Linked DNA regions of Xenopus tropicalis. The protein of the gene in region 7 binds, or shares a complex with, the protein of the main gene of each other region. Links are inferred from orthologs where the notes say so. Each region holds a gene or a part of one and is shown on either strand. Other genes may lie near its edges. The genes, in order: lsm3, ppih, cript, armc7, snrpg, lsm7 and snrpd3.

What was found.
Region 1: snrpd3 (region 7) and lsm3 share a complex: the UniProt entries of both Homo sapiens proteins name them as parts of the U4/U6-U5 tri-snRNP complex. The link is inferred for Xenopus tropicalis from reciprocal best matches to the Homo sapiens genes SNRPD3 and LSM3.
Region 2: snrpd3 (region 7) and ppih share a complex: the UniProt entries of both Homo sapiens proteins name them as parts of the U4/U6-U5 tri-snRNP complex. The link is inferred for Xenopus tropicalis from reciprocal best matches to the Homo sapiens genes SNRPD3 and PPIH.
Region 3: snrpd3 (region 7) and cript share a complex: the UniProt entries of both Homo sapiens proteins name them as parts of the minor spliceosome. The link is inferred for Xenopus tropicalis from reciprocal best matches to the Homo sapiens genes SNRPD3 and CRIPT.
Region 4: snrpd3 (region 7) and armc7 share a complex: the UniProt entries of both Homo sapiens proteins name them as parts of the minor spliceosome. The link is inferred for Xenopus tropicalis from reciprocal best matches to the Homo sapiens genes SNRPD3 and ARMC7.
Region 5: snrpd3 (region 7) and snrpg share a complex: the UniProt entries of both Homo sapiens proteins name them as parts of the U7 snRNP complex. The link is inferred for Xenopus tropicalis from reciprocal best matches to the Homo sapiens genes SNRPD3 and SNRPG.
Region 6: snrpd3 (region 7) and lsm7 share a complex: the UniProt entries of both Homo sapiens proteins name them as parts of the U4/U6-U5 tri-snRNP complex. The link is inferred for Xenopus tropicalis from reciprocal best matches to the Homo sapiens genes SNRPD3 and LSM7.

The regions. Positions count from the first base shown.
Region 1 is NC_030680.2:132,918,288-132,922,420, forward strand, and holds the start of lsm3 (U6 snRNA-associated Sm-like protein LSm3), read right to left. Parts: upstream 2,873-4,133; 5' UTR 2,860-2,872; coding exon 2,839-2,859; intron 1-2,838. Other genes in the region: xpc (DNA repair protein complementing XP-C cells), read left to right, coding at 3,555-3,639. UniProt on the Homo sapiens protein: Plays a role in pre-mRNA splicing as component of the U4/U6-U5 tri-snRNP complex that is involved in spliceosome assembly, and as component of the precatalytic spliceosome (spliceosome B complex).
Region 2 is NC_030683.2:94,758,849-94,763,049, reverse strand, and holds the start of ppih (peptidyl-prolyl cis-trans isomerase H), read left to right. Parts: upstream 1-1,378; 5' UTR 1,379-1,381; coding exon 1,382-1,447; intron 1,448-2,323; coding exon 2,324-2,388; intron 2,389-3,642; coding exon 3,643-3,666; intron 3,667-4,201. UniProt on the Homo sapiens protein: PPIase that catalyzes the cis-trans isomerization of proline imidic peptide bonds in oligopeptides and may therefore assist protein folding. Participates in pre-mRNA splicing.
Region 3 is NC_030681.2:19,972,077-19,976,248, forward strand, and holds the start of cript (cysteine-rich PDZ-binding protein), read left to right. Parts: upstream 1-1,361; 5' UTR 1,362-1,363; coding exon 1,364-1,379; intron 1,380-2,463; coding exon 2,464-2,529; intron 2,530-4,060; coding exon 4,061-4,115; intron 4,116-4,172. UniProt on the Homo sapiens protein: As a component of the minor spliceosome, involved in the splicing of U12-type introns in pre-mRNAs. Involved in the cytoskeletal anchoring of DLG4 in excitatory synapses.
Region 4 is NC_030686.2:44,366,167-44,370,402, forward strand, and holds the start of armc7 (armadillo repeat-containing protein 7), read left to right. Parts: upstream 1-1,394; 5' UTR 1,395-1,466; coding exon 1,467-1,542; intron 1,543-1,546; exon of another isoform or gene 1,547-1,636; coding exon 1,637-1,801; intron 1,802-3,449; coding exon 3,450-3,802; 3' UTR 3,803-4,236. UniProt on the Homo sapiens protein: As a component of the minor spliceosome, involved in the splicing of U12-type introns in pre-mRNAs.
Region 5 is NC_030679.2:122,085,894-122,089,975, reverse strand, and holds the start of snrpg (small nuclear ribonucleoprotein G), read left to right. Parts: upstream 1-1,281; 5' UTR 1,282-1,308; coding exon 1,309-1,340; intron 1,341-1,954; coding exon 1,955-1,977; intron 1,978-2,785; coding exon 2,786-2,910; intron 2,911-4,082. Other genes in the region: protein FAM136A, read right to left, coding at 797-883. UniProt on the Homo sapiens protein: Plays a role in pre-mRNA splicing as a core component of the spliceosomal U1, U2, U4 and U5 small nuclear ribonucleoproteins (snRNPs), the building blocks of the spliceosome.
Region 6 is NC_030677.2:92,738,178-92,742,358, forward strand, and holds the end of lsm7 (U6 snRNA-associated Sm-like protein LSm7), read right to left. Parts: intron 3,908-4,181; coding exon 3,836-3,907; intron 895-3,835; coding exon 752-894; 3' UTR 552-751; downstream 1-551. UniProt on the Homo sapiens protein: Plays a role in pre-mRNA splicing as component of the U4/U6-U5 tri-snRNP complex that is involved in spliceosome assembly, and as component of the precatalytic spliceosome (spliceosome B complex).
Region 7 is NC_030677.2:152,605,329-152,609,475, forward strand, and holds the start of snrpd3 (small nuclear ribonucleoprotein Sm D3), read left to right. Parts: upstream 1-1,325; 5' UTR 1,326-1,348; coding exon 1,349-1,474; intron 1,475-3,915; coding exon 3,916-4,108; intron 4,109-4,147. UniProt on the Homo sapiens protein: Plays a role in pre-mRNA splicing as a core component of the spliceosomal U1, U2, U4 and U5 small nuclear ribonucleoproteins (snRNPs), the building blocks of the spliceosome.

The DNA.
Region 1 (4,133 bases), on a different chromosome or scaffold from region 7:
TTTTTGGATCCTATAACACTGGGCCACATGTCTGCTTAATAAGTTATTCTGTGTGTTTGAGCGGTAGTTTCTTTTTAGTATGATTCAATTTATAGTTTTCAGTTTAAACCTAGTCCTGTGTTTCTGCCTCTATCTTAAAACTGTTTTTGCTGGATACATAAGAGTTGCCTGTATATTGTTTAACCCCTTAGCTGCAAAGTAATAATCATCTGCTTTTACCACAAATTCTGGTCCCCTTTCTTTTGCAGATGGTGCCGTGATATATTAGCCTCCTTATAATTATGATATTATAAAAAGTACTTTCAAGGAAATGTAAACCCAAGAAAACAGTCTCAAAACTGCCCAGCACTCTATTCAGAGCACTTTTGCAGTTGACTTTTTTCCCCCCCATGTCTTTCGAAGGTTTACATTTCCTTTAAACGAGTAATGGCACTTCTGATTCTATATTCCAGTGAATAAGTTGCAAATATTTAGCAATAGCAGTCTTTTAAGCCACACAATCAAGTGTCAGTGCTTGCAGGGGTACAGAGTATTTGCATGAGTTTAGTAACTCAGCATCCACAGGACCTTTGGGGGGGGGGGGGGGGGGAAGTGTGAAGGGCAGCAGGTCCTCAGGCAACTAAACTCAAGCTTGCTTGATCATTTGTCAATATATGAGAAGACTTGTCATATCTTTGTTGTGCTGGCTCCAAGAACATATATTAGCCAATGCCCGTCTGTTCCATTGTTTACTTTTGCACTTAACCTAGCCCATCAAAATAAAGACTTGTGCAGGGAATGTTAATCTAATGATTGTGATCTGTTCCTCTCATCCACTGACTGATTTAATGACAAAAACGGTCAAGCCCATCTGATCAAATGTTGGGACAATGCAGTTGAAATGATCGTATATTTTACAATCGTTTCCCCCTGAATGTAACAATAAGTTAATAATAAAGCAAATTTTATTGGTTCACTGTAAAGGTGGCCTTACACGCTAAGATCCACTCGCTTTGCGAAGTCACCAAGCAAGCGGATCTTCTCCCAATATCCCCATCTATGGGTGGGCAATATCAGGCTAATTCGGTCGTTTGGCCCCAGGGTCAAATGTCCGAATTAGGACGACGGCCATAGGCGTCTGTCTGTTTGGGGACTGCATTAACGAGCCAATGCAGTCCCCGATCAGACTGATTTTTAAACCTGCCTGATCGAGATCTGCCCGATGTCAGTTGGGCAGGCCTGTCGTTAATGCCCATACACGGCCAATAAGCTGCCGAATTGGTCTAAGGGACTGATATCGGCAGCTAGAATCAGCCCATGTATGGCCACCTTAAAACTGGTTGTTTCACATGACAAAATCTGCTTGTGTATGGGCACCTTTATTGTTTTGAGCAGTCAGATTTGATCTACAGTTACCAAATAGCATTTCTTTTCTCCCCTGCATGGGATTGTAAGGTCTGTGGGGCAGGGACCTCCTTCCTCTTGTCTAGGACACTTAGCACTATACCTTTAATGTAACTGTACTATTTGTATTTTAATTATAAATAAAGCCCAGAGTGTAGTTTCACTAGTGTGAAGTACAATACTCTTGTATTTGTGTCTTGTTGTTTTTTTATTATTATTTTTGACACTGGCTAACACGGTACTACAGTTTTTGTTTTGTAACCTGAGCTATTAAAACCTTACAGTTTTCATTTTTTGTCTTGTTTGAACTTTAGATTTAAGGAATGCTTGTGGTGTCTTTAATAAAAAGCCAAAATGACAGACTTAGGTTATAGATTTAGACCCGCTTGGGCAGCCAATAGGGTAGTGAACCAGCTGCCTAGCCAGTAGTTATTTAGTTTGCTCCCAAAAACATGCACCACCTCCATACAGCTTTCAAACTGCTGAGCTTTGGCAGTGATGAAATGTATGTTGTGTTCTTCCAATCAACATGGATTGACACATTAGTAAATTAGGAGACATGTTGGATAAATGGGAAAACCCCTCATTTTGTAGGCAATTATGAATAATATCCGGTGCTGGTTTCATTTTGGGCTAAACATTAACCCTATCTGTAACAATGGCCCCTTTATTGGAGCTCCCTATAGATCCTCTCAGGTCCCTGTCTGTGTTTCAAATGAGGGGTGGGCGTGTCCTAACGGTCCCTGCTAGAAGAACAGTAGGAGGGGGAGAGCCAATCACAGCCCTGCACTCACAAAAGCACAGACAGGCTTCAGTTCCCTATCAGGTCAGCCTAGCTGCTGATTGGTTCCTATCTTAGAGTGCCCCGGCTCCCCTGCACATCCAGAGAATTCAGCCAGCAGGAAGTGGAACAGATGGGCGGGGCTAGTGGGGTTTGGGGGGATTCTCAAATCAGTCCGAAACAACTTTTTTTTTTTTTAAGCACAATCCTATATCTAGGAGTATAATTCACTAGTATATTCTTAAATTTTATAGGATGTGTCCCTAAAAAACAGGAGTCAAGAGTCAATTGGGAGATAAACTCAGAAATCTGAGGTATAGAAACTAAAACAAGCCTTGTGCTTCTATTGTTTGAATATATTGACGCCATCAGCCACACAGAACATACATTTCATTTTACTCCTGACCACAACAACTGGGTTTTTAATCAGATTTACATCGCTAGTTATGAATATAAACACACTCCACCGGTGCTTCACGATTAAAAAAAAAAAAAGGCTTTGAAATAAAAGAGAAAACAGTCCAGTTTGAATAAACATTCACTTAATTCCCCGCAACATAAAAAAACCCTATACGCGTTCCCAAGCGAGACCGGGCCAGGAGCACCCCTTATGCCGCACTGCGCCGAGAACCGAACAGAACCTGTTTTCCAGTCTTATAAACCCACATCCCTACCTGCTCTCCGTCGTCCGCCATCTTCAAAACCCCGCGCAAAGGAAATAGCCGAGAACCCTGACAATTCTCCTATCGCGATATTTATGTGCCACAGGAAGAATGTGAAGCTCGGCCAATAGCGTGAGAGTATGGGCAGTAAGTGGCGGAGGCCTGGATGTGACGCTTGGCCAATAGCGTGAGAGTATGGGCAGTAAGTGACGGAGGCCGGAATGTGTAGCTCAGCCAATAGTGTGAGAGTATGGGCAGTAAGAGGCGGAGGCCTGGATGTGAAGCTCGGCCAATAGCGTAAGAGTATGGGCAGTAAGTGGCGGAGGCCTGGATGTGACGCTTGGCCAATAGCGTGAGAGTATGGGCAGTAAGTGACGGAGGCCGGAATGTGTAGCTCAGCCAATAGTGTGAGAGTATGGGCAGTAAGAGGCGGAGGCCTGGATGTGAAGCTCGGCCAATAGCGTAAGAGTATGGGCAGTAAGTGACGGAGGCCGGAATGTGAAGCTCAGCCAATAATGTGAGAGTATGGGCAGTAAGTGTCGGAGGCCGGAATGTGAAGCTCAGCCAATAATGTGAGAGTATGGGCAGTAAGTGGCGGAGGCCTGGCAGCGGGGTGCACATGTGTATGTTCCGGAAGTGACGCGTTAATGTTATTGTCTGAGACAGATTGTTTCCTGTTGTGTGGGTTATACAACCAGAGGGGACATGTGAGGTAGAATTGTGGGGAGATGGCAAAGCGGAGGGGGTCTGAGGGTGCTGCGGTAGCGGGGAACAAGCAGAGAAACCGCCCGGCAATAGACTCCCTGCATGGTGGTGAGTTTCTATGGGGTCTGCATGTCTATAGAGATTTTCATTCATCTTGTGAATGATATACAGTAACACGTAAAATGAAATCTAAACACAGACTTAATTCACAGACTTAAATAGACTTAATTCTTATAGGTACTGTATGGGGACACTGTGCAGAGTTTCTAAATAGGCTGGGAATAATACTGTAGTGAGTGCAGATTGAACCCTATGGGCATCAGCCCTGTACTATTCACTATACTGGTTTTAAGATTCTTCTATGATTGCTAAGGTAACCCCTAGAAACCAGATAAATTAAATACAAACCTTGACAACATAATTCAGAGACCAGATGAAATAAAAAATAAAGACCAGTTGCAGATTGTGTTAGTATTATGCCATCTGGACAATATTAAAAGATAGGCAGAGTTAGCCCTTGAATTGTGCATGGGCTTTTATTTCTGTGCTAAATGATTAACTACCAATGCTTTGGGCTCTGGTGGAACATTACAGGTCGTTTG
Region 2 (4,201 bases), on a different chromosome or scaffold from region 7:
TTCCCGAACGATCCGATACTATCGTTAAGTTATCGTATAGTTGATGGTGTGCGAACGATCGTCGGCCCACTAATCGACCCGACATTATTGTCCCCAAAATCGATCGGCCAGGTTTAAAAATTTTAGTCGTTTAATGATAAAATCTGCCAGTTGGTGTGAGTGTCAGACATTTGTCTTCGAACGATTGTTCTCTGCGCATGTCATGATTGCCAGCAGCGGAAGTCAACGAACATAAATAAATAAATACCGCTTCCGCCACGACATTGGATCGTACGTAGATGTACGATTGTAAAAATTGCAAATTATCGTTGCCTGTGGATGGCATATCGTATGGAAACCCGGTCGCCATACGATCGTTTGTCGATATAATAGTTCGTCGCACAACGAGTGAAATCGCCTTGTGTATGGGGACCTTAACATCAGAACAGTTATCTGTTTTCCTTCTCAATGTATACTCACTCAGCTGTATGGTTGTAAGAGCTGACCAGTAGGCGGCGCTGTTTATAAGCAGATTAAAAGCTTTAAAAAATAATTGATGTAAAATGCAAATGTGACTAGAAGAGGACACTGACAAATTTATATTAACTTTTTAGGTTTTAGATATACTTTATTCCCCAGTCAATTTATTTGTTAGGGCCCAGGTTTCATACCCATATCAGTTTCTTGGGAAACCTGATTTCCCTGTACTTTGAATTTATGGAATAGTTTTGAAGGCCAAACAGCAACAAAGCTGCCAGTGGAGAGGGAGATTTTATGGGAAGTGATATACAAACAATAAAACCTCCCTTCTCCTCACAGAATACAGAGGGGATTTGGTGTGTTCCCTATGTGCAGCAGCCACAGGTAACCATAATTCTACCTACTGCATAAATACACACATACACCCACACAGAAGCAGAGCTCTGTTATAAACGCACTCTCGCCCACACAGCATCACGGCTGTGATCAGGCCACATTGAAATAGGAACTAAAAAAAAAGACGTTTCCGGTGTGGAGCGCTGAGGCGCTTGTATTAGCACTGCTTGATGTGAGAGCAAGGCAGACAGCATGGATATTTACAGATATGGATAGCTTCAACAGAAATAAATTTAATTGCACGGAACATGTGAATGCTACAACTCCACTCCATCCAAAACTAAACCTCTGTACTGCTTATATGTCAATGAGTAAATCAGGTTTAGTCACGCGTAAACGTACTGCTATTGCCACTCTCCCATAATCCCCTGCAAGGTTAGAAGCGCAGGCATATCGCATCGCCCACCAACTTCATGCGAATAAAGCGTGTAAAACAATGCACTGCGCCTGCGCATACAGCCTACAAGCAAGCCGCTTCTGGGATTGAAGCGCCGCCTCTTCTCTTCCGGTTTTGCCCCAGATAGAAATGGCGGTACCGGCTTCCAACGCTAACAATCCCATCGTATTCTTCGATATCAGTATCGGGGGGCAGGTAACACGCGGTGTTAAGTATAATACATTGAGAAAGCCCTGCATTAAATGATGATTCCATACTTACGTACTGAGAAGAATCTCGCCATGCAACACCACCTACAAACTGCAGCTGAGCAAATGGGGCTGCATGGTGTAGTGTAGTATTAGCAAGAAGGCTAAGTGTGTACTGTGACTGAAGGACAGATTTTTATATTCATAGCAGAAATTATTATGTATTTAAATTGTATTCCACGTGTATGGGCCCCACTGTTCTTTCCGATCTCTAAACCCTAAAACTTTACTGATGGTCCTAAACATGCACTCTAAGCCCTGAGAAAATCCCTAAATATGAACTCTAAAATTCTCATGGCATCCCAATTCATGAACCCTGCCCCCAAGGAAGACTGGGCGTGAACCCCAAAAGAGAGCCCAAAACAAAACTTGTAAAGCCACCAGACGGCTGATCAAACCAATTAGGGGAAAAAAGATCATCTTGGAAAGCTCTGAATATTATCCTTAGAATGTATGGAAAAAAGTCAACATGGAAACTAGACATTTTGGAAAATGTGTCAACATGAGGGCTAATTTGTCCATTCCGTGTCTTTGAAAAAGTTGTTCTTTCAAGCAAACTGTTGCTATACCTATTTATTCTGCATTTATTTAAATTAAAGTTATACAGAATATTAAAAACATTGGGTGGCCTAATTTTGTAAGCTTTTAAAGTTTTGTAATTGCTATATTTTATGCTATTCAACTTCAAATTAGTTTGCTTGTGTGTAACTGTGAAGAAAGGCATATATTCTGGGAAAACATGAAGGGTATGATGACTGTAATACCAATGTGCTAATTGTCTTTTCACAAAAAAAACTAATTTAATGTCCATTTACTTTTTCAGGAGGTGGGCCGGATGAAGGTGGAACTTTTTGCAGATATTGTACCAAAAACTGCAGAGAACTTCAGGTGAAGTTGCATGACTTTTGCTGTCAAAACTCTGGAGTAGTTATATAGCAACACTGACAAAGTTTGCAACTGCCCATAACCCAAAGCAACCAATCAGATGTTTGCTGTCATTATTTTAGTCTCACTAGATCAGTAAGACTAAGGGCTCTGGCACACGGGGAGATTAGTCGCCCGCGGCAAAACTCCCTGTTCGCGGGCGACTAATCTCCCCGAGTTGCCTTCCCCTGCCATCCCACCGGCGAACATGTAAGTCGCCGGCGGGATGGCAGATGCGGCGGCGCGATTTCGCGCAAATCGCTGAAAAAGACTTGCGAGTCTTTTTCGGCGATTTGCCGAAATCGCCTCGCCGCGTCTGCCATCCCACCGCCGGCTTACATTGTCGCCGATGGGATGGCAGGGGAAGGCAACTCGGGGAGATTAGTCGCCCGCGAACAGGGAGTTTTGCCGCGGGCGACTCATCTCCCCATGTGCCAGCTATCTGTCGAGCCTACAAAATAGACAGTACTGATAGGATTGTTTTGCCTTCAATAGGGATTAATTATATCTTAGTTAGAATCAAGTGCAAGGTGCTGTTTTATTATTACAGAGAAAAGGGAAATCACTTTATATCATTTGATTTACTTGATTATAATGGAGTTTATAGAAGATGGCTTTCCCTGTAATTCTGATTTTTCTGGATAATGGACTTCTAAATAATGGTTCCTATACCTGTATTATATCTAGCAAACAGTTTTTAAATAGCTTAAAGCTTTACAATTATACTAATAATATATTATCCACATAGAGTTCCTTTCTGTTTTGTTTCTCTCATCACAACTAAGTTCTTTAATATACAGCCCTCTGCATCTAAAAGAATTTGACAGCACTACTTTACACCCCTTGTTTCTTTTTTTCAAACCATCCAAAGGTCCCTTCCCACAGGCATTAATATTCTCACCAGCAATTTACATCAATGCTGGTTGTAAGGAAACTTTGGGCATTTGTCACCTGCACTGAAGGAGATTTAGTTTTAGTGTTTAGAAGTAAAAGTAAATGGAGGATAAAGTAAATTCATGAATTTCCCATTTCTGATGCTTAAAGCTGATGCCAGAATCAACCCATGTGGCATCAGTCTAAGGGGCTATTTCTGATATCAAAAAGAAGTTGTTGTAGACTAATGCATTATGTGCTATGCAGGAATGCATTGTTGTGCAAACAGATTACGTTAGGTAAAGTATCTGCTAATTGTAAATAATTCTTTATTTCTCATTTCAGGCAATTCTGTACTGGCGAATTTAGGTTTGTATCTGTACTTCTTTTGCCCCGATCGGGGGTTTGATCTAAGTAATGGGAGTAGACTGGAATAAATGTTGAAGCACAATTGTTTCCACAAATCCTCATAGTTAAGTTCTAAGAAACTGGCTTCAGTGCTTCTCTGTTTTCATTCATTGTGTAGCAAATTCTGCAAGAAGCTAAACTGTCCATTGGCTGCTTGGTGGGGGATTATGAATATAATAGCAACAATACTTTTTCTGTAGATCAACTAATACTCAAAATAGTACATTGAAATTAAACGTAATAAGCAATATGGCAGCTTTCCTGACAGGAAAGACAATAACTGTTTTAAAATATTAAATAGTGCACCGCAGATATTTTTAGCACCTGTGCTGTAATACTGACATCTGCTTTAAGGGTAGTAGAATATTTACTGCAGATTGCATTTGCAAATTAGTTCTGAGTTTATTTATACCCTCCATTGACGTTCAGGGCTGAATCATCGGATATAGAGGTAGAAACAATAGCAATTCTACCCCTATCTGATGGTTCAGCCCTT
Region 3 (4,172 bases), on a different chromosome or scaffold from region 7:
AGGCTGGGCTGCCCTGTGTATGTAGCCACAGAATGGGCAATCTCCCCTAACTGGCCTTCAGGCTGGGCTGTGTATGTAGCCACAGAATGGGCAATCTCCCCTAACTGGCCTGCAGGCTGGGCTGCCCTGTGTATGTAGCCACAGAATGGGCAATCTCCCCTAACTGGCCTTCAGGCTGGGCTGTGTATGTAGCCACAGAATGGGCAATCTCCCCTAACTGGCCTTCAGGCTGGGCTGTGTATGTAGCCACAGAATGGGCAATCTCCCCTAACTGGCCTTCAGGCTGGGCTGTGTATGTAGCCACAGAATGGGCAATCTCCCCTGACTGGCCTTCAGGCTGGGCTGCCCTGTGTATGTAGCCACAGAATGGGCAATCTCCCCTAACTGGCCTTCAGGCTGGGCTGTGTATGTAGCCACAGAATGGGCAATCTCCCCTAACTGGCCTTCAGGCTGGGCTGTGTATGTAGCCACAGAATGGGCAATCTCCCCTAACTGGCCTTCAGGCTGGGCTGTGTATGTAGCCACAGAATGGGCAATCTCCCCTAACTGGCCTTCAGGCTGGGCTGCCCTGTGTATGTAGCCACAGAATGGGCAATCTCCCCTAACTGGCCTTCAGGCTGGGCTGTGTATGTAGCCACAGAATGGGCAATCTCCCCTAACTGGCCTTCAGGCTGGCCTGTGTATGTAGCCACAGAATGGGCAATCTCCCCTAACTGGCCTTCAGGCTGCCCTGTGTATGTAGCCACAGAATGGGCAATCTCCCCTAACTGGCCTTCAGGCTGCCCTGTGTATGTAGCCACAGAATGGGCAATCTCCCCTAACTGGCCTTCAGGCTGGGCTGTGTATGTAGCCACAGAATGGGCAATCTCCCCTAACTGGCCCTTCAGGCTGGGCTGTGTATGTAATGGGCAATCTCCCCTAACTGGCCTTCAGGCTGAACACCCCATGTTGCTAATTGTCTTTACTACAACTCCCATCACTCCCCCTAGGAGCTTATGCAAACACACCAATGGAAGGAAGCAGCTGTAGCTCAACAGCACCAAAACTCCCACAGACTGAGCTATATATATATATATATATATATATAAGGGTAGAAGGGAAGTCCCGCTGTGTCTCCCAATACTCACCTGTGCGCTCATTGACCCTGCACCACTTCTGGTTCTGGTTCCTCCTCCCTCACCTGAAAAGGAGCAGAAGCTGTGTTTGATAGACAGTCACATAAGCCAATCAGGCGGCGGCTTCCGCCAACTGACGTTGACGTTCCGGAGCGGTTTCCATTGGTGGTGACGAGATCCGGAAGTGACGTTCCTAAGGAACTTTGTTGACAAGAGCCGTGTGATTGTTGGTGTGACCGGAGTGGGACATGGTGTGCGATAAGTGTAAGTAACAAACCGGGTTTAATCTCGCTGGGTGTATTTCCTGGTACCGGGCAGCTCCCATAGAGCCGTGTTATGTGGGTAACGCTTACACCTGCCATTGGATACATTTGCCGAGCAGCTGTAAACCATGGCGTCCTGTTTATATTATCCTTCACATTCGTCTGCGCAACTGGCTGAGCAAAGCCAATGGCTGGTTGGTTGCTAGGGGTGCCTACTGTTAGTAATAAATAAAGCAGACATAGCTGTAGCTCTGGTTTATCCGCTGTTCGCAATACGTAGTAATATACTTACTGTGCTGCCGGCTATTACTATTCTCCCTGACTGTATTGCTCATTGTCACTATATATTCTGATTATCTCATTGACGTTTTTGGATACCTGTATGGGAGAATGTAATTACTGTTGTTTTTAAAGGGATAATGTCATGACTTATGTGGTATACTTTTTATTTCTAAATTACACTGTTTACATAGCAAATAATTCACTCTGCCATTTAAAATGTTATTCTTGAACCAACAAATGTATTTGTAGCTGTAATATTGGTGTGTAGGCGCCATCTCAGTGCCTTGTGCCTGAGTCTGAGCTTTCAGCCAGCGCTACACATTAGAACTGCTTTCAGCTAACCTATTGTTTCTCCTACTCCCATGTAACTGGAGGAGTCCCAAGCCGGACTTGGATTTCTTACTATTGAGTGCTATTCTGATACCTACTGGGAGCTGCTATCTTGCTCCCTTCCCATTGTTCTGCTGATCGGCTGCTGGGAGGGGGCGGGGGATATCACTCCAACTTGCAGCGCAGCAGTAAATTGTGATTGAAGTTTATCAGAGCACAGGTTACATGGCTGTGGCACCCTGGGAAATGAAGAATATGGCTAGCCCCATGTGAAATTTCAAAATTAAATATAAAAAAAATCTGTTTGTATATTTGAAAAACAGATTACAATGCAGGATTCTGCTGCAGAAGCTCTATTAACTGATGGGTTTTGAAAAAAACGTGTTTTCCCATGACAGTATTCCTTTAAGGACGTAGATAGGGATATGTGTGTGCAGGAGCAGCATTAACTAATGACGTGTATTTAATGACAGGTGAGAAGAAACTGGGCACAGTTATCACTCCAGACACATGGAAATCCGGTGCCAGGAATACCACTGGTAAGTTGTGGTGCCATTTAATCGGATTTGCATTATTGTGTATCAATCCACTAGCACTTCTTGCTCTTCCCAGTCTTTCAGAGGCAGAACTTTGATCCTATTATAAAGGCCAGATATTGTTTATATAAAGGCAGACTTTAATATTTATTTTTTTTGTAAAATATATGGTGACATTTAAGGGCTGAACCTGTTGTGCTGTGTTATTAAAGGCTTCAAAGTGTGCCTCTGCCACCTATGCAGCTTCCCTTAATAAGTACACAAGCAAAACATTTGTACACTAAAGGCTTATATGAATAAACTCATTGGTTAAAGGAGAAGGAAAGGTAAAAACTAAGTAAACTTTATCAGAAAGGTCTATGTAAATACAGTCATAAGCACTCACAGAAACGCTGCACTGAGTCCTCTGTCAAAAGAAACACAGGATTTCTTGTCTACTTTTTTGTAAACATGTTCTTAGGGTATCTGACTTTCTCTCTCAGAAAAATCCTTCATTCCTGTGACCAGAGTCAGTGCAGCTCTCTCCTCTCTCCTGCTCCCCCCTCCCATAAGAATTCATAAGACTCACTCCCCCCTCCCTTAGGAATGTGTAATCTGAGCTATAACGCTAGACTGCAAACAGGAAGCTATGGAGACCAAGCTAAAATGGCAGCTGCAATCTTAAAAAGAGAAAGCTTCTAGGGCTCTTTACTCAAGTATGGCAATGCTTTCTGCAGAATAAATATAGTGTTCTAGGTGGCACTAATGTGGCAAACCTATTGGCAGTTAAATGCCAAAATGACTTCTTCTCCTTTAATGCCTCCATGAAGTGCCACCAGTTATTATCTTTAGCCATTTTTTAACAATCTCTTTACCTGAAATGTTATCGCTGCATGTATCTAGCTAATATTAGCAGAGTAATGCAATTAAAAGCATTAACTGATATTTTTATTGCCTATTGTAAATTGATGATAAGCTATTTTTTTCTAAATAAATATGGTATAAAATACACTTTTTTGCTTGAAAAACAGTCGGTTTAGTTTATTCAGTGACTGGCTTACCCAAAGGAGGCTGTTTGAAGCCATGGCCACTTCCAGAGTCTTCCCTCCCTCCTCCAGAACTGCACCACCAGGGACCCCTAAAACTGCTCTGTTTGGTCTACCTGGTTAAGGCTTATTTTCAACTGGGGTGGCGGACTTTCATTTTTTGATGAATTGTTCCATTCACACGTAAGCCTTCTTTAGTGAATATGCCACTGTTTGTTTATTTTAATAGGCAGTATTTTTTTGTCTTGTTTTGGCACAACAGTCCCTGTCAGAATTAATGTTTGCTCAAGTAAAAGAAAAAATCCAAAATATTTCATTTGTTTGCCTATGGCCCCTAAGTCCTGGAGCTGGTAACCTCTCTATAGTATTATGTACAATGTTTCAAATGGGGGACTTGATGGGAGGCTTATATTTCTAATTTATTTAATTAAACAAACACATTTGGCTTCTGTGGGAAAGGATTATTACAGTATTCTTCTGGTTATTGATTTTTCTCTCTCTTTACACAGAAAGTGGAGGCAGAAAACTAAATGAGAACAAGGCACTGACATCAAAGACTGCAAGGTGAGTACTAATCACACAGTGTCTCCTTTTCAACTTGAGTTCAGTGTATAGGGTTTG
Region 4 (4,236 bases), on a different chromosome or scaffold from region 7:
TTTCTTCTCTTTGTTCCCATTCAGAAATAGGGAATGACCATGAATAGGCCAAATGGTGAGGAGCAGGAGGGCCCACTGACCCCTGGGCCCACCGGGAGTTTTCCTGGTATCCTGGTGGGCCAGTCCGACTCTGTTTGTGTGCACTGTGAATCCCAGGGGGATAAAAGTGAGTTATAAAATACCCTATATTTAGCATCTGTGCCACTGGTCTTTTTTTTTACTTATTTTTAAATTATTTGCTGCCTTTTTCTGCCTCTCTATGCTTTCAGGCAGTCAGCCAGCCAAAAAACTATTGCTCTGAGAGGCTATTGTTATTCAGTACCATATCTCACGTGGTTGCTAGTTTAAATATGACCCTAGCAACCAGATAGTTGCAGAAATACCAAACTAGAGACGTGTTAACATCCCAATTCCTTATGCACATGATTTATAGCCATTTTACCCCTATATACATGTGTGGCGATATAAAGAGTAGAAGGCCATTGCATATTTATATTTGGGCTGCTTTTTACCCCCAGTCTGGCCCTGCAGCTTGGTGTTTCCATTTAACGTTCAATTTTCAGTGCGGCTTGGGCAGCATGCCACCCTAAGGGCTCTGGCACACGGGGAGATTAGTCGCCCGCGGCAAAACTCCCTGTTCGTGGGCAACTAATCTCCCCGAGTTGCCTTCCCCTGCCATCCCACCGGCGAACATGTAAGTCGCGGGTGGGATGGCACACGCGGCGGCGCGATTTCACGCAAATCGCCGAAGTTGCCTTGCGAGGCTTTTTCAGCGATTTGCGCTAAATCGCGCTGCCGCGTGTGCCATCCCACCGGCCACTTACATTTTCGCCAGTGGGATGGCAGGGGAAGGCAACTCGGGGAGATTAGTTGCCCACGAACAGGGAGTTTTGTCGCGGGTGACTAATCTCCCCGTGTGCCAGAGCCCTTAATCTGTTCCGCCCCGGGCCTGGGCCTTTGTTGCCTGGGTGTCACGTGTTTTCTATTGAAACGAGTGTCTGGAGGGGCGGGGTCAGACGGTATTGCGCCAATACGGCCCGTGGGCCATAGTTGTAAGAATTGTGTGAGCAGCAGATAAGTACCACAGTCTTCATTTTTTTATCCTCTGAGGTTTTTGCCACTTTAGCACTTCTACACTTTCCAATTTCCTGCTACCAAGTTGCCAACCTGAAGAGTGAGTAGGAGAGGGTCTGAAGAGAAAAATACATCATAAATATATAAATCTCAATACAAAAGTATACTCATAGCATGACATTTTGTTTATTTCTATTGTTCCCACCCTCACACTTACCCGGGTAATTCTGCCCCTAACGCTACAGTTCCGCCTCAGCGCTTTGCGCCTCCCTCACGCTTCCCGCCCGGAAGTAGGACGAGAACTGGCACCCGACTTGAGGCTTCTGCCAGTACGGTGACATCACTTCCGCCCACCCGGAAGCGCAGGTACTGCGGGCTGATAGAGAGCGGGGATGGGTGACGGGGAGTCGGAGCGGTTTCAGTACCTGCAGACGTTGGTCACTGAGTTCCAGGACACGGACAGTGTCGGTAAGGGAGAGAGAGGGGGAGATTTAACCCCATTCAGTTTCGTTACGGTTGTAGTTTTGTACCAACTCTCCGCATCATTTCCTCTTCTCATTAGTTTCTCCCCTTAATTGCTCAGAAGCCAAAGAGCAGGTCCTGGCCAATCTGGCCAACTTCGCCTACGATCCCCGGAACTTTTCCGACCTGCGGAAGCTACAGGTGCTGGACCTGTTCCTGGATATGCTGACTGAGGGCAATGAGAACCTGGTGGAGTTTGGCCTGGGTGAGAGAATGTACTGAAGTGCTGAGCCCACAATGTGCCCCCATGTGTGGCAGGAGGGTCACAATATAATGCAATATAATCTCAGCTCCCACCAGCATCCTCCCCCCAGCATCCTCCCACCAGCATCCTCCAGCTCCCCCCAGCATCCTCCTCAGCATCCTCCCACCAGCTCCCCCCAGCATCCTATCCCAGCATCCTCCCACCAGCTCCCCCCCAGCATCCTTCAACTCCCCCCAGCATCTTCCTCAACATCCTCCCACCAGCATCCTCCAGCTCCCCCCAGCGTCCTTGCCAGCATCCTCCAAGCTCAGGGGACACATTGACTTGATGGAGGCCCTGAGTGTAACGCTGGCCCGAAATCACAGGCCTCTCAGCTCCCCCCAGCATCTTCCCACCAGCATCCTCCAGCTCCCCCCAGCATCCTATCCCAGCATCCTCCTCAGCATCCTCCCACCAGCTCCCCTCCAGCATCCTTCCCAGCATCCTCCAGCTCCCCCAGCGTCCTTCCCAGCATCCTGCTCAACATCCTCCCACCAGCTCCCCCCCAGCATCCTTCAGCTCCCCTCAGCATCCTTCAACTCCCCCCAGCATCTTCCTCAACATCCTCCCACCAGCATCCTCCAGCTCCCCCCAGTGTCCTTCCCAGCATCCTCCTCAACATCCTCCCACCAGCTCCCCCCCAGCATTCTTCAACTCCCACCAGCATCTTCCTCAACATCCTCCCACCAGCATCCTCCAGCTCCCCCCAGCGTCCCTACCCAGCATCCTCCCACCAGCTCCCCCCAAGCATCCTCCCACCAGCCCCCCTCCAGCATCCTCCCACCAGCTCCCCCCCAGCATCCTTCTCAGCATCCTCCTAAACATCCTCCCCCCCCCCCCAGCGACCTACAGCGACCAATCAGGAGTCAGCGGACCGGATTAAAAAGGCCAATGGGCCAGACATGGCTTGCAGGCCGTAGTTTGCCCACCCCTGATATAATGACTCCGCCCCAATCTCCAGTTGATGGACAGTATAGTGAAAGTGGCTATAGGTGGGCAGTGGGTAGATGCTTAAATTTTCTGCTTGATGACAGTGGGACGGACCATTGAAAAAAAGCCAGTGTCAGACTGGGGGCCCCTCACTGAGGGTGGAGGGCCGATGTTGCTGGCAGGGATCAGGCCTGGGTTGGTGGGGCCCACTGGGATTTTTCTCATTGTCCCAGTCTGTCCCTGGGAAAAGCCCAATATGCAACCTGGCACTGGAGGGGGGGGTGGCAGAATCAGTAGGTTTTATCAGCCCATCTATGGCCACCGTGTACCACCCCCCCCAACCCCTCGCCTGTCATTGGTCTCTGACAAACACGGCTCTGGTATATTTATCGTTTTCACTACAAACTTCTGTGCGATCCTTTTATACCCAGATAAACATCCTGTGTTGCGAATATAAACATTGGGTGCAGTGAAAGCCCAGTTATCTTGTATTAACCACTTCCAGCAGGACGGAAGGATATTGTAGGTTTGGGCAATATGTTTTTTTCCATCTTTCCTATGGGATCCCCCCCCCCCCTAAAAAACATGTCCTCAATTTCAATTGTGATCAAACCCCCTGTAGGTCATAATGTCTTTGAAATTGTTAGTTTGCCTTTAACCATTCTCTCTTTTCCAATAGGGGGTCTCTGTAATCTCTGCCTGGACAAGACTAACAAGAGTCACATACTAGACTCCGGGGGGCTGAAATTGGTCATCAATTGCCTGTCCAGCCGTCGGGAAGAGACGGTGCTTTCGGCGCTGACCACACTCATGTTCCTGTGCACGGCCGCCTCCCGCACTGAAGTGACGGCTCCTGCTGTGGTGGAGTGCATGGTGCGCTTCTCCCTTTCCACCAACCGCAGGATCAGCAATTTGGCCACCATCTTCCTGCAGGATTACTGCAGCGATAAGCAAGTGCAAGAAGCCAAAGAACTGAGCCAACATTCGGCATTGGGAATCCCGCTCCCTGAATCCACGCAGCACCCCATCTGACTCCCGTGTCGGACATTTGCACCCTACTAGAAACAGATGCAGCATGGCTGTTCTCGGAGTGTGACAAACTCTGTGTTTGAAGTGCTGGTCACTTTCATGATCATGAAACAAGTTTGGGAGACAAGTGCAAGCCTTGCCGGACTGCAGTCCCCTGCAAGATACTGTTCCGTGATTCAGTTATGGACTGACCCCATGGTCCCTCGTGTATTTATTTCTACTGTATTAAAATCATTAAAGAGGAAAAGCACTCGGTGCTGCTATCTACACTGCTATCCACTCTTCGTGAGTGGCCAATGGTTGGCGAGATTGTACAGTTGTGTTTCTTAGCTCTCCCCAGCAAAGCTTCATGGGTTATTCAGGGTCCATGAAAGGGGTGGGGGAACCTTATGGTAGGGGGTGACACTTGGGTGGATCATGGGGAGAGTTTTAATATA
Region 5 (4,082 bases), on a different chromosome or scaffold from region 7:
GTTCGGCCAGGACCTTGGATTAGACTTAATCCTGCACCGAATCCCGGATTCAGTGCATGCCCTTGGTGTGTTTGTGTGCTACAATAGCAGGAGGCCCTTAATATATAAAATGGCAATTTTCTATGTAGGATTACCCAATAGCACGTGCTACTAAAAGAAGTATATTTTCATGCAATTTATTTAGAAGATGCAGGGTTTTACATCTGAGCTGTTTATGCAATATATTTTTATAGAGACCTACATTGTCTGGGGTATAGATTTCCTTTGCTAAGAGGCTTGGGCCACACTGTGGCTTTCAAACATAAGTTTTACTCATTTGAACTTTTTGCCCCAGTTTCTTTTTCCCCCAGTTTCTTTTTGCCCCAGTTTCTTTTTCCCCCAGTTTCTTTTTCCCCCAGTTTCTTTTTGCCCCAGTTTCTTTTTGCCCCAGTTTCTTTTTGCCCTACCCATTTCTGATGAAGTTTGCAGCAACAGTACTTGCGGTTTAATGGTAAGGAACAGAAACCTGAACAGAAAGATAAGTCCCTGTGCTAAGCAAATGTAGCAGGAAAACTAGTATGTTATATTAAAGGACAAGTAAAACCTGGTATATAAGGCATCCCACAGCCATTAGTCCTGTACATTAAAAATGACCAATTCCTATTGGACCCCCAGGCATTTGTGCCCCTTCCATTCAAGTGCATGGGAGTGCTACCCCAGGGGGACTTTGAATGGCAGCAGAGTATAATAAAAGAAGTAATGGAAGATGGGCTGTAACGCCCTATGACATAAGACTAATTACACCAGACTATGGTACCTGCATTTTCCTAATGTTGTCCCTTTCCAAGCTCTTCACCATAGTGTCTATCGCATTTTGAAGCCGGTTCTGCTGTTCCTCTGCCATGTCTGACAAGCGTGTGCTCCAAGGGCAACGCACCTCTCTTCCGCCCTTACACATACCCTTCCGGTTACGGCTTGCCCTTACTCTAACTCTACGGCATCTACGTTGTTTTGCGGCAGACATCTAAGCTGACCGACTAGCTTCCATAGCCCCAAGTTTTTGTTAAATTCTTCTATAACCAATCAGGGAAAACGTATATATGTAATCAAATTTGCAATATTTCTTATATACTTTAATATTTGATACACAATGTTATATTTAGCCCAACTAAAGCCGGCTAACGCGTCTCCTTTGTATTCTTTGGTGGTCGTCATAGCGACCGTGGGGGTGGGCGGGGAAGCGCATACACGTAAGACGTGCTTACGTCACATTAAGGCGACTGCGTTACTTGGCGGCAGCGACCGGGGCTTTGTACACGAGGAACGAAAATGAGCAAAGCGCACCCGCCCGAGCTGAAGAAGTAAGGAACGGCCCGGGGGGGGGCAGTGAGGGGCAGAGCGGAGGGGGCAAGTGAGGGGCAGAGCGGAGGGGGCAAGTGAGGGGCAGAGCGGAGGGGGCAAGTGAGGGGCAGAGCGGAGGGGGCAGTGAGGGGCAGAGCGGAGGGCAAGTGAGGGGCAGAGCGGAGGGGCGGCTTAGGCTGTAGCCGGGGAACATACACCCAAACCTGCAGCCTCCATTGCGCTGTTTCATGTTGAATGGCCCGTTTTGGAGCATGGAGGCTGCAACCACATCATTCACACAGAAAGAAATGGGGATCTTTTCGATTCCCACATATCTTCCAATTATATTTTGTGGTCAAACTGATTGATTGCCCATATATTGCAATATACTCCAAGCTGGCCAACTACATCAGTCGCAGTCATAGGATTCATTAAGGATTCTAGTATTTCATAATGTGCACATGGATCTCTGGGAAGAGTGAAGTAGCTCTTATGCCTGATACTAACCCTATAAGGGAACTGCATTGGCTTCTCTTGGGTCCCTAGTCTAGTGATCTGAGCACAGGTGATTAGGTCTTGTTGAGTTATTATTATAATATAATGTATTTAAATGTTGTGTACTTTTTACTTTTAGGTTCATGGACAAGAAACTGTCTTGTAAGTATTGAAAAATTTTCCATCTACTTGTAAAAAGAAAAAAAAATAAAGGAAAACTATACCCCCCAAACAATGTAGGTCTCTATAAAAATGTTTCATAAACAAGCTCATATGTAAAACTAAATTAATCTAAATAAACCATTTTCTTAAAAATATTATTTTTTTAGTAGTATGTGCTATCGGGTGGTACTAAATAGGAAATTGCCATTTTATGAATTAAGGGCCACCCCCTGGGATCATAGGATTCACAGTGCACACAAACAAGCCAAGACACACATACATGTTAGGCCCCATCAGCCAATGAATGGGCAGAGTTCTGCCTTTTGCTCCCACACTACTCCCTGTTACAGTCAGAGCTGCATTATTTCCTGTCAGCTGATCTCTGAGGGAGCACACAGCCCATCACTAAATGGTGGCTCAAGGGAAAGGATGTAAAAGGGCAATATTTACTAATATATATTCCAGTTTGACAATATTCTTTAATAGGCCACTTAACAAAATATAAACTATCTGTTGGTTAAGTATTCGTTCTGGGGGTATAGTTTTCTTTTAAAAAATAAAAATATATATGATGAGGTCTGTGCTCGGACCTTATTCAGGTGCTTGGCCAAATAACAGTGTTATTTAGAATAAGAAGCAGCAGAGAGATGGTGCAATGAAGGATTTATTCAGGATACAGGACTGCTGTTCCTCACTCTATATAAATATATGCAGTTATAAGGGAACTGTACCAGGTGACTCCCCAAACCAGTAAACCACCAAAACCTTGAAGCATCTGATCAAATTTCCTTTCTTTTCTTTCTTTCAGTGAAGTTAAATGGTGGGAGACATGTCCAGGGGATTCTGCGTGGCTTTGATCCCTTCATGAACCTTGTAATAGATGAGTGCACAGAGATATCAGGGGGTGGCCACCAAAACACCATTGGAATGGTGGTAAGTGTTAGACTGAGCTGCAACATATATTGTATGGTCCCTTACTGTGTGTGTAATTTAGGGTGGCCGTTCATGGTCAGATTTTCCAATTTTTAAACTAACATTTGAGGACAACGCAACGCAAAATATAATTTTTTGCCTAATAAAAGAAAACAGAATTCTCAGCTTTGCAATATACATTTATTACAAATTTGTAATGGTTTTTGAGTTATTTGTATATATAATTGCTATTAGAAGCAGTGTTTGTCTGTCCTTTTCTATTCTCTGCCCTGGTGGCTCTGGCATTTGAAACAATGTAACACAAGGCAGCCAACTGACAGACCTGACTTGGGGAAGGAGACTGACTTTTGCAACATTGTTTAAAAAGTAACCACCAGGAGTTCGGCAAATGCTGCTTTCAATAGCAATTACATTTACAAATGGCATTTAATCATACAATGTTATCCACAGAGAAGTAGCACGTTAAAGATGTCGTCATTTTGTTGCCAAAAGGTAAAGTAATATTGTGCATCTACAATGCTATATCAGCTTGTGGCGGAAGCAGTATAAACAGGAAGTGATGTATTTTTCATCAATTTTTATCGATATTGGTATGCTATTTGCTATTACAACAAGTGAACGAATGAGTTCTGCTTGTTTGTAATGTGGCTGGTTGCCTTGGCTTGCTGGTATTGCAGCAAGGTATTCTTTTGCCTGTATTTATATTTACCAACAGCATGCACATGACTTTTCATAGTGTTTATGTGGTTAAAATGTAGGGTTGGCAACAAACATTTGGGTCTTGTCATATGCGTTCGTTGACTTCTGCAGGTACTGCCAATATATGCACAGAAAGCGACTGTTCAACGACAACTTTCACACCAACTCTTATCGTTGCCCAACTGATATTTTTAAGAATGTTGGGCCAATTAGTAAATTCTTACATCTAGAATTGTTTGTACACTACCAGCTATACAGTTTGTCCTGAAATCAGTCGTGAGACTACAAAATCTGAGCATGTATGGCTGCATTTAGTGGAATATGGTCAGATTATTAGCAGCTAATATTGCAAAGTGTATTGGCTTCTGTGAAGTTCAGATTAAATAATGACTAATCGGCTGAGCAGCTTTAGTACTTTAAAGATGGCCAGTTTAAAGAGAGGGATCTAGCCCATGTTTTCTGGGTAGGATGAG
Region 6 (4,181 bases), about 60 Mb from region 7:
TAGTAGCAGCTACTTGTCACGGCCACCAAAATAAAACAATGCTGATCATTTACTGAGAACTGTCTCTATGTGTGTTTTAGCAGAGGCAGTTCTCAGTATTGTCTATGGCAGGGTATTTTCTGGTGTTTAGTAGCTGTGACAAGTAGATGCAACTAAGTAGCTTTGTGTGTTTGCACCCTTTATGATTGCTTGAGCTGAAAGGCTTGAGCAATCATAAAAAATGCCCCTACAATTATTAAAAGAGGTGGAATAAATTTGTTGACCTACACAATATATGCGAGTGGTTTGAGCCCCATATATTGAACCCCTGCTCACGTACTGAAGATTTTTCATAAAAGGGGTTAAAAAGGTTATAACATACAGGGCTAGCAAAAAAACATTGCAATAAACAAAAGCACTCTAAAACAAATGGCACAGTGACTGTTGCAAAAAATGAATTGCCAGGTAAGCGGTGCAAAACTATCCGCTGGAGATTCACCACTTTGTAGAACTTCATCTGAAGTCTTCATGGTTGCTCACATAAAAAATAATAGAAATACACACAGAAAAGGTTCCAATGAAATAATCAGTATATTTGAAATATATGGAATACGCTGGCTCTGCTAAAATAGCATCTCTCTGCCTTTAAAAAAAAAAAAAAAAAAAATGTTCTATATAAAATAAACAAAACAAATTCAGTACTCCACAATCTTCAACTTGAAGTTATTCTTTCTAACAAAGAAATATGGGAGAAGAAATTTAATATTGTTCATTAACCCTCTTGTTGTTGAACAAAAGGGTTTGGGATTGCCTCCATGCCATCCTGTGGACAAATCAGCACTACAGATGTTCCTCTGCAGACTACCAGCCCCAGCTGCCGTGTGTCCTCTGTTAATTTATACTGGTCATCTGGATCTAAAGAGAAAAAGACATGTTTTAATAGAACAAGTGACAATTCACAAAAGTTCTAAAAACTTCAACTTAAACCATTTCTAAAACATACAAGGTACAGCAAATTAACAAGCCGAAAATGTAAAATAAACGTTATATACTTTAACCATAATGGCTTTCTGAACAGGTACAGAGGGTGGCTGTTAATGGTACATTCTCTACTTGGAGTAAGGTTCTTAGTGTGGTCCCACAGGGTTCTGTGTTGGGTCCACTATTATTTAACTTGTTCATTAATGACTTAGGAGAAGGTATTATAAGTGATGTATCAGTGTTTGCAGATGACACAAAATTCTGCAGCCCAATTAATTCTATCCAGGATCCTTGCAGCAGGATTGTGACAAACTGGGGGGCTCAGTGGCAGAGAGATTCAATGTTGATAAATTCAAAGTCCTGCACCTGGGATGCAAAAATATGCATTAATTGAATTGCACTACACAAATCCATAATGGAAAAGGACCTTTAAGTCCTTGTAGGTAATAACTTGGCTGTGGCAAGCAAGGGCAAACAAGGTTTTGAGCTGTATTAAAAGGGACATAGAATTGTGAGAGGAAGGGGTTATTCTTCTGCTTTACAAAGCGCTGGTAAGGCCCTAATAGAAGTTTTGGTCTCCATTGCTCAAATGGGACATTATTATGTTAGAGAGGACCCAGAGAAGGGCAACGTAGCTGGTAAAGGATATGGATAGACGTAGTTATGAAGACTAGCCAGGTTGGGATGGTTTACCCTGGAAAATAGGCACTTCAGGGGTCATATAATCTCTCGAACGTTTTATTCACCAGTAGGTTCTTCCAACTAACACAAGGGCACCCATTCCAATTAGAAAAAAGTAGGTTCCGTCTAGATACTCTGAAAGGGTTTTTTTTGTTCTTTAACCGAGAGCTGTGAAGTTGTGTAATTCACTCCCTGAATTAGTCGCACTGACTGAGAGATAGCTTCAAGAAGGGGTTGGTTGGCATTTTAGCAAGTAAGGGAATACAATGGTCTGATTGCCTTCTTGGAACCAGGAAGGATTTTTTCCCCCTCCGCAGCAAATGAAAAGCTTCAAAAGGTTTATTTTGCTTTCCTCTGGATCAACTAGCAGTTAGGCAGGTTACATATAGGCATATAAAGTTAAACTTGATGGACTGGTGTCTTTTTAACCTAATTTACTATATTAAATACTACAGGTATTGGATCTATTATACCTTAAGTCTGCCAAAAAAAATTGAAACACAAAATAAACAAAATAGGATTGTTTTGCCACTTGAAGCCTTTAATTATTCGACAAGAAATCCCTTACCTGTTCCAATTATAAAGACTGAATTATGCAGTAACAGAACACCCACAATCCATAGATGGAAGGAGTGGTGGGGTAAAATTTAAAAAAATAATTGGAAAGGTCAAGTTTAGGCTATGATTTAAATGGAAAACCATACCCACAAAATAAATACTTAAACAGTTTATATCAGTTAGGGCATATTCTAGTTTAGCAAGATTCTTTAATAGGTCACTTTTACCTTGAGCCACAATTTTGTGATGGGCTGTGGGCTCCCATAGAGATTACATGAACAGAAATAATGCAGCTCTATCTGAAACATGAAGAAGTCACAGTTCTGTCCATTGATTGGCTAATGTAACCTAGTATGCACGTGTGCTTTGGTATGTGTGCAACATGAATCCTATGATCCCAAGAGGCGGCCCTTCATTTTTAAAATGGCAGGTTTCATGCAACATATTTTAGAGAGACCTACGGTGTTTTGCAGAATAGATTTCCTTTAATATGCATATTTTGACATATTGTTTCATGTCAGCACATTTTAAATTAAAAGACTAAACTAGAAAGGGAAGTTTGAGAACAAACTTCATGTTGGGTTGAAAAACATGAAGTCACTGAATGGGCTCTGCCCACTTTCTCTAACCTTGGATCACAGTTATACAATAAAAACCACTGTGCAAAGTTTGGGGACCCTGGCTTAATAGTGTCTGAATGGCAGCAACTTAAATTTCCCCACTGAAAGTCAACGAGTGACATCTGATTGGCGGTTGGTGGCTCCACCCCCTTTTTCTAACCTGGAACTGCAGCTACCCAGTGACTAACTCTGCAAAGTTTAGTTTAGGATTAATAGTTAAAGAACGGCAGCAGTTAAAGTTTAAACCAATAAAAGTCAATAGGTGAATTGTGATTGGTGGTTGGTGACCCCGCCCCCTTTTTCTAACCTTGAGTCGAAGTCACTCAGTGACAAAGAGTGGGCACTGTGGCATAAATAGTGTGAGAATGACAGCATTTTAAATTTAAACCAATAAAACTCAAAGGATGAAATCTGATTGGCCGTTAGTGGCCCAACCCACTTTTCCTATTTTTAAACTGCAGTCCCCCAGTGACCAACTTTGCAAATTTTGGGGACTCTGGCATAAAAATTGTGAGACTGACAGCATTTTACACTTCACAGTTGAAAGTAAATAGGTGAAATGTTATTGGCTGTTGGTGGCTCCGCCCACTTTTTTTCTGAACAGCAAGGTTGAATTTCCACCAAGTCAATAGGTAAAATCTGATTGGCTGTTCACAGCTCCGCCCACTTTTGGGCATTCAGCAATCATTGGGGTGTTCGGAGGGGCGCCACAAAAAGACGGGGGGCGGGAACGCATAAAAAAAGCACAAGCAACCTGCTCTGCTATAGGGCGAAGAAGTGTGGAGAGTTTGGTTGTTGTACCCCTAAAACTGTAAGAGGAGTAGCGTTTAGAAAATGGGGGGCGCTAAAAAGAAGAAGAAGTGGAAGAATAAGCCAAAGTCGAAGAACAGTATGTTGGGGTTTTCAACCCAACACAATTATTCCATGTGCCGCCTCCAGTCAAATAGCAAAACAATGCATACAAATTTGAAGTGCATCCTATGTATATGAAAGCTTTATGAATTTTTAGTACTTACCTCTCATATATTCTATTGTGCCATCCAGTACAAGATTCAGCAGTGGATCAAATCCTTTCAGTACTCCGCTTGCTTTAATCAGGTGAAGAATAAAAACAAGGGGAAAAAAGTATTTAAAAAGAGAAGCCCAAATAGTTCTGCACCCCAAGCTTATGTAAATGTTTTCAGCTTTGCCTATATCCGTTAAAATGGAAGATGATTCTCAGGAAAATGTCATTTTAGCTGGTGTATTACAGGGCGAGATTTAACATCTTGTATGGTTGAAACCTACTAAAGACTTTACAGATATTGCAAAAGTAGTTTATGAATTCCAAAAAGATGCTTTTCAAACTGCTTCCACAGTCTT
Region 7 (4,147 bases):
GTCCTGTATGTGCACATACATACATTCATGGTAGAATGGGGGGTGAATCTACATTTTACAGCAGTGAGCAGGGGTACATTTTTGTGCACAGATGCCATTTTGTCCATTTTACTTAATGTTGCATGTGCTTTCTGGCAGTTCAGAAACAATGCATTCAGCAGATATATAAACAAAATAAGCCTGATCATTCTGGGCCCATACATATGCCAGCGGTCTGCCAATTCAGTTAATAAAGTCAGAATCAGCACCTATTAAAAGCGCAGACTAAAAGAAACAGTCTGATCAGGTGCGGACTGGAAATGGGGCCTTGGCATTTAATTATACGCGGATACCCAAATAGCCCCCTATCACCCCAATAAATAGTGTCTGTGACATCTTACAGCAGCCCTTCTGGCATTTATCACAATCCACAGATTGCACGTCTGAGTCTAATTGGAGGTTTCAGCTCAAGATATTTAATAATAATTCATAATATATAATATGAAAAGTTGCAGTGCAACTAGCCGCTCTTAAATGGTGTGAATAGATAAATGGGTTGATGAGCGGAACTAAGTCACTCATATCTGTTTCCCACCGGAAGTTGTTTGCTTGTGCAGTCGCCGGGAAAAGGGGGCAGAGAGATACGACAGCCTGTTTCCTTTCGCTGTGCATTGTGGGGCAGGCGGGACGCCATTAGAACGCAGAACAGAGCCACGCTAGTAAGTATTACCCAAAGCAAACAAAAGTTCGGTAAAAAGTCTGCGCTTTGCAGGATTGTCAGAGAGGCCCGGGGGTTGCAGCGTGCGGATATCTGGGCGGGGTGTGCGTCTCGGTTACTCGGCGCTTGTTCGCTTTCCCTTAGGTCTGTGCGGTTGGCAGCTTTGTATGAGTGTGAGCAGGGCTTCCCTCTAAATATTGCCTTATGGTGAGGTTATATACAGGGTGCCGGGCCCAACGCATCTCACTGTGTTACCAGTCCGTTATCCGTTTCTATAAATATTCCTGCCTTAGGCCGGGGGCACTGAAACGTTTGTGTAGGCCTCAGTGCCAGTATCCCAGGGAACTCATTCATTGAGGGTTACTCCTCTGCTTCTGCGGGTTGTGCTGCTGCGATGTCCTAACGTGCATGTGTTTCTGAAGGGCTGGGCATGTTTGTGTGCATATGTATGGCTGAATTTATAGACTGTAAGTGATTAAAGCTTTAGGCTGGATAAACATTATGTAATAAGGATTTTTATTTGAATATACCTTATAGTTTGCACATGGCTGCATTGTATGCAGTAACCTGCGTTGCGCTTTGTATGTTCTCCACGTTTTTTTGCTAATTTTTATTTCTCCAATTGCAGGTTAATCTCCATTAGCTCTCAATATGTCTATCGGTGTACCAATTAAAGTCCTTCATGAGGCAGAAGGCCACATTGTGACATGTGAAACTAACACCGGAGAGGTATACAGGGGGAAATTGATTGAAGCAGAGGATAACATGAACTGCCAAGTAAGTAAAATAAGCAAGTCATTCGTATTATATCTATAGCAAGTGCACCTAAACTTATAAATATTTACCTTATGCCATGTTTGTAAGTACGTTGGTGATTGCAGTATAAACTCTAGTGATAGACCTTATGGACCAACAATTGTAAAGGCTGTGTTAAACTAAAAATGTGTGTGTGAATTGTTAGGGGCAAAGTATTTTCCAAAAGGCACCTATTTATTCCCTATATAGTGCCTCGGTTACCCTATCCATTGCAAAAGAAGCAGTTATATTGTGGTCAGAAGCGTAAATAGCTTAAAGGAGACATGGAAAAATAGGGGAAAAAAAAACCTAATTTTGTAGACAATTATGAACAATATATGCTGCGGGTTTCATTTGGGCTAAAAAATACTCATCTGTAAATATGGCCTCTTTATTGGAGCTCCCTGTAGATCCTATCAGTTCTCTGTCCCTGTTTAAAATGAAGGGTGGGCGTGTCCTAACGGTCCCTGCCAGAAGCACAGTAGGAGGGGGGAAGGCAATCACAGCCCAGCACTCACACAAGCAGAGACAGGCTTCAGTTCCCTATCAGGTCATCCTAGCTGCTGATTGGTTCCTATCCAGCCAGCAGGAAGTGGAACAGATGGGCGGGACTATTAGGGTTTTGGTGGAATTTCTCAATAAAACAGTCCAAAAAACAATTTTTTTTAAACCACAGTCCTTCTATATCTAGAGGAGTATAATTTACTGGTACATTCTTAATTTTTATACAATGTCTCCTTTAATCCTAATCTATTTCAATTTCCTAGCTGTGTCTCTAGATGTCAGTATATTCACAGTAAAGCTCAGTGATAAGGAGCAGAAGTAAAATATGTAAATGCTGTTGTTGCTATGCACTTTTAAACTGTTAGTTACAGGAGCCTAGTTAGTGGGGTGTGGCTACACCCGTATTGCATTCCTGTTGTGTAATTTAAAAAATATTTAGGGTGACAATTTCCTTTTGCTCTTTTTACTAAGCACTCTTCTGTTGTTCATGTATAAACTTCTCTTTTAACATGGAGAAAAGTCTCCTTTATCTACCCACAGAAGCCAAACGGTAACATATTTTGGTGTTCCTATTCTTTTAAACTATGTAAGTGTTTCAAAGTAATCAAAATACGATGTAGTGTTACCCTGCACTGGTAGAACTGGTGTTTGCTTCAGTAACACACAGCAGCTTGGATGGCTGCCCCCACTGATACTACTATAGTTCATATAAATAAGCTGCTGTGTATCAGTGGGGGCAGCCATCCAAGCTGGGATAAACTGAGTAAGGGCTCTGGCACACGGGGGAGATTAGTCGCCCGCGATTAACTCCCTGTTCGCGGGCGACTAATCTCCCCGAGTTGCCTACCCCTGCCATCCCACCGGCGAACATGTAAGTCGCCGGCGGGATGGCAGACGCGGCGGGGCGATTTCCGGAAATCACCGAAAAAGACTTGCGAGTCTTTTTCGGCGATTTGCGCGAAATCGCGCCGCCACGTCTGCCATCCCGCCGGCGACTTACATGTTCGCCGGTGGGATGGCAGGGGTAGGCAACTCGGGGAGATTAGTCGCCCGCGAACAGGGAGTTAATCGCGGGCGACTAATCTCCCCCGTGTGCCAGAGCCCTAAAGGTGCTGGTTACATAAGCTGTATTGTATTTTACAGAGCTTATCTTTTTGTCACCTGTGCCATTCAGCCCTCTTTGTTTGAATAGCTGCCCCCATGCAGCTTTATTTCTATAGACCAGGGTTTCCCAACCTTTTGTACCTGTGAGCCACATTTAAATGTAAAAAGAGTTTGGGAGCAAATGAAGCATAAAAAATTCTTTTGGGTTGCCAAATAAGGGCTGTTATTGGCTATTTGGTAGCCCTTATGGGGACTGGAAGCCTACAGGATTGTGCTGGCAATACAGCTGGTTTTTATGCAACAGAAACTTGCCTCCTTACCAGAAATTACAAAAAATAAGCACCTGCTTAAAGTCCACTGGGAGCCACTGGTTGGGCATTACTGGTATAGACTATAGCAGTGTTTCTAAAGCATTTTAACGCAGCTGTATATTACCTTGTACAATAAATAGGTTGTTTTTGGCTATTTTAATTAAAAGGGTCCTCCAGCCAAAAACTGTTTTTGTAATGAAAAAATTTAATTCTACGCAACTTGGATATACATTAAAGGAAATTTAAAACTGCAAAGACTGGTCTTCTAAACATTCTTCTACTGTGTATGAATGTTCTTGGTGCTGTCTCCCAGGAAAAGAACATGGTTTTGGCTATTCTTTGAGCTAAACAAGGGGGAGACATGAGTGTGAAGTCAAACACGATCCCGTTAAAGCTTTATAAATATAAAACATTGTAATAGAATTCCTCACATAGTGCTGTATGTTAAGCCTGTGTCCTTTTTTCTTCCCTCCATGGATGCTTAAATTGTACTTTGACTTTCAGATGTCAAACATCACTGTAACGTACAGGGATGGCAGAGTGGCACAACTAGAACAGGTCTACATCAGAGGCAGCAAAATTCGTTTTCTCATCCTCCCAGACATGTTGAAAAATGCTCCCATGTTAAAGAGTATGAAGAATAAAAACCAGGGTTCTGGTGCCGGCAGAGGAAAAGCAGCTATTCTCAAGGCCCAAGGTAAGTTTTATTTGTGTAGGGGCAGGGTTAACAGGGTGA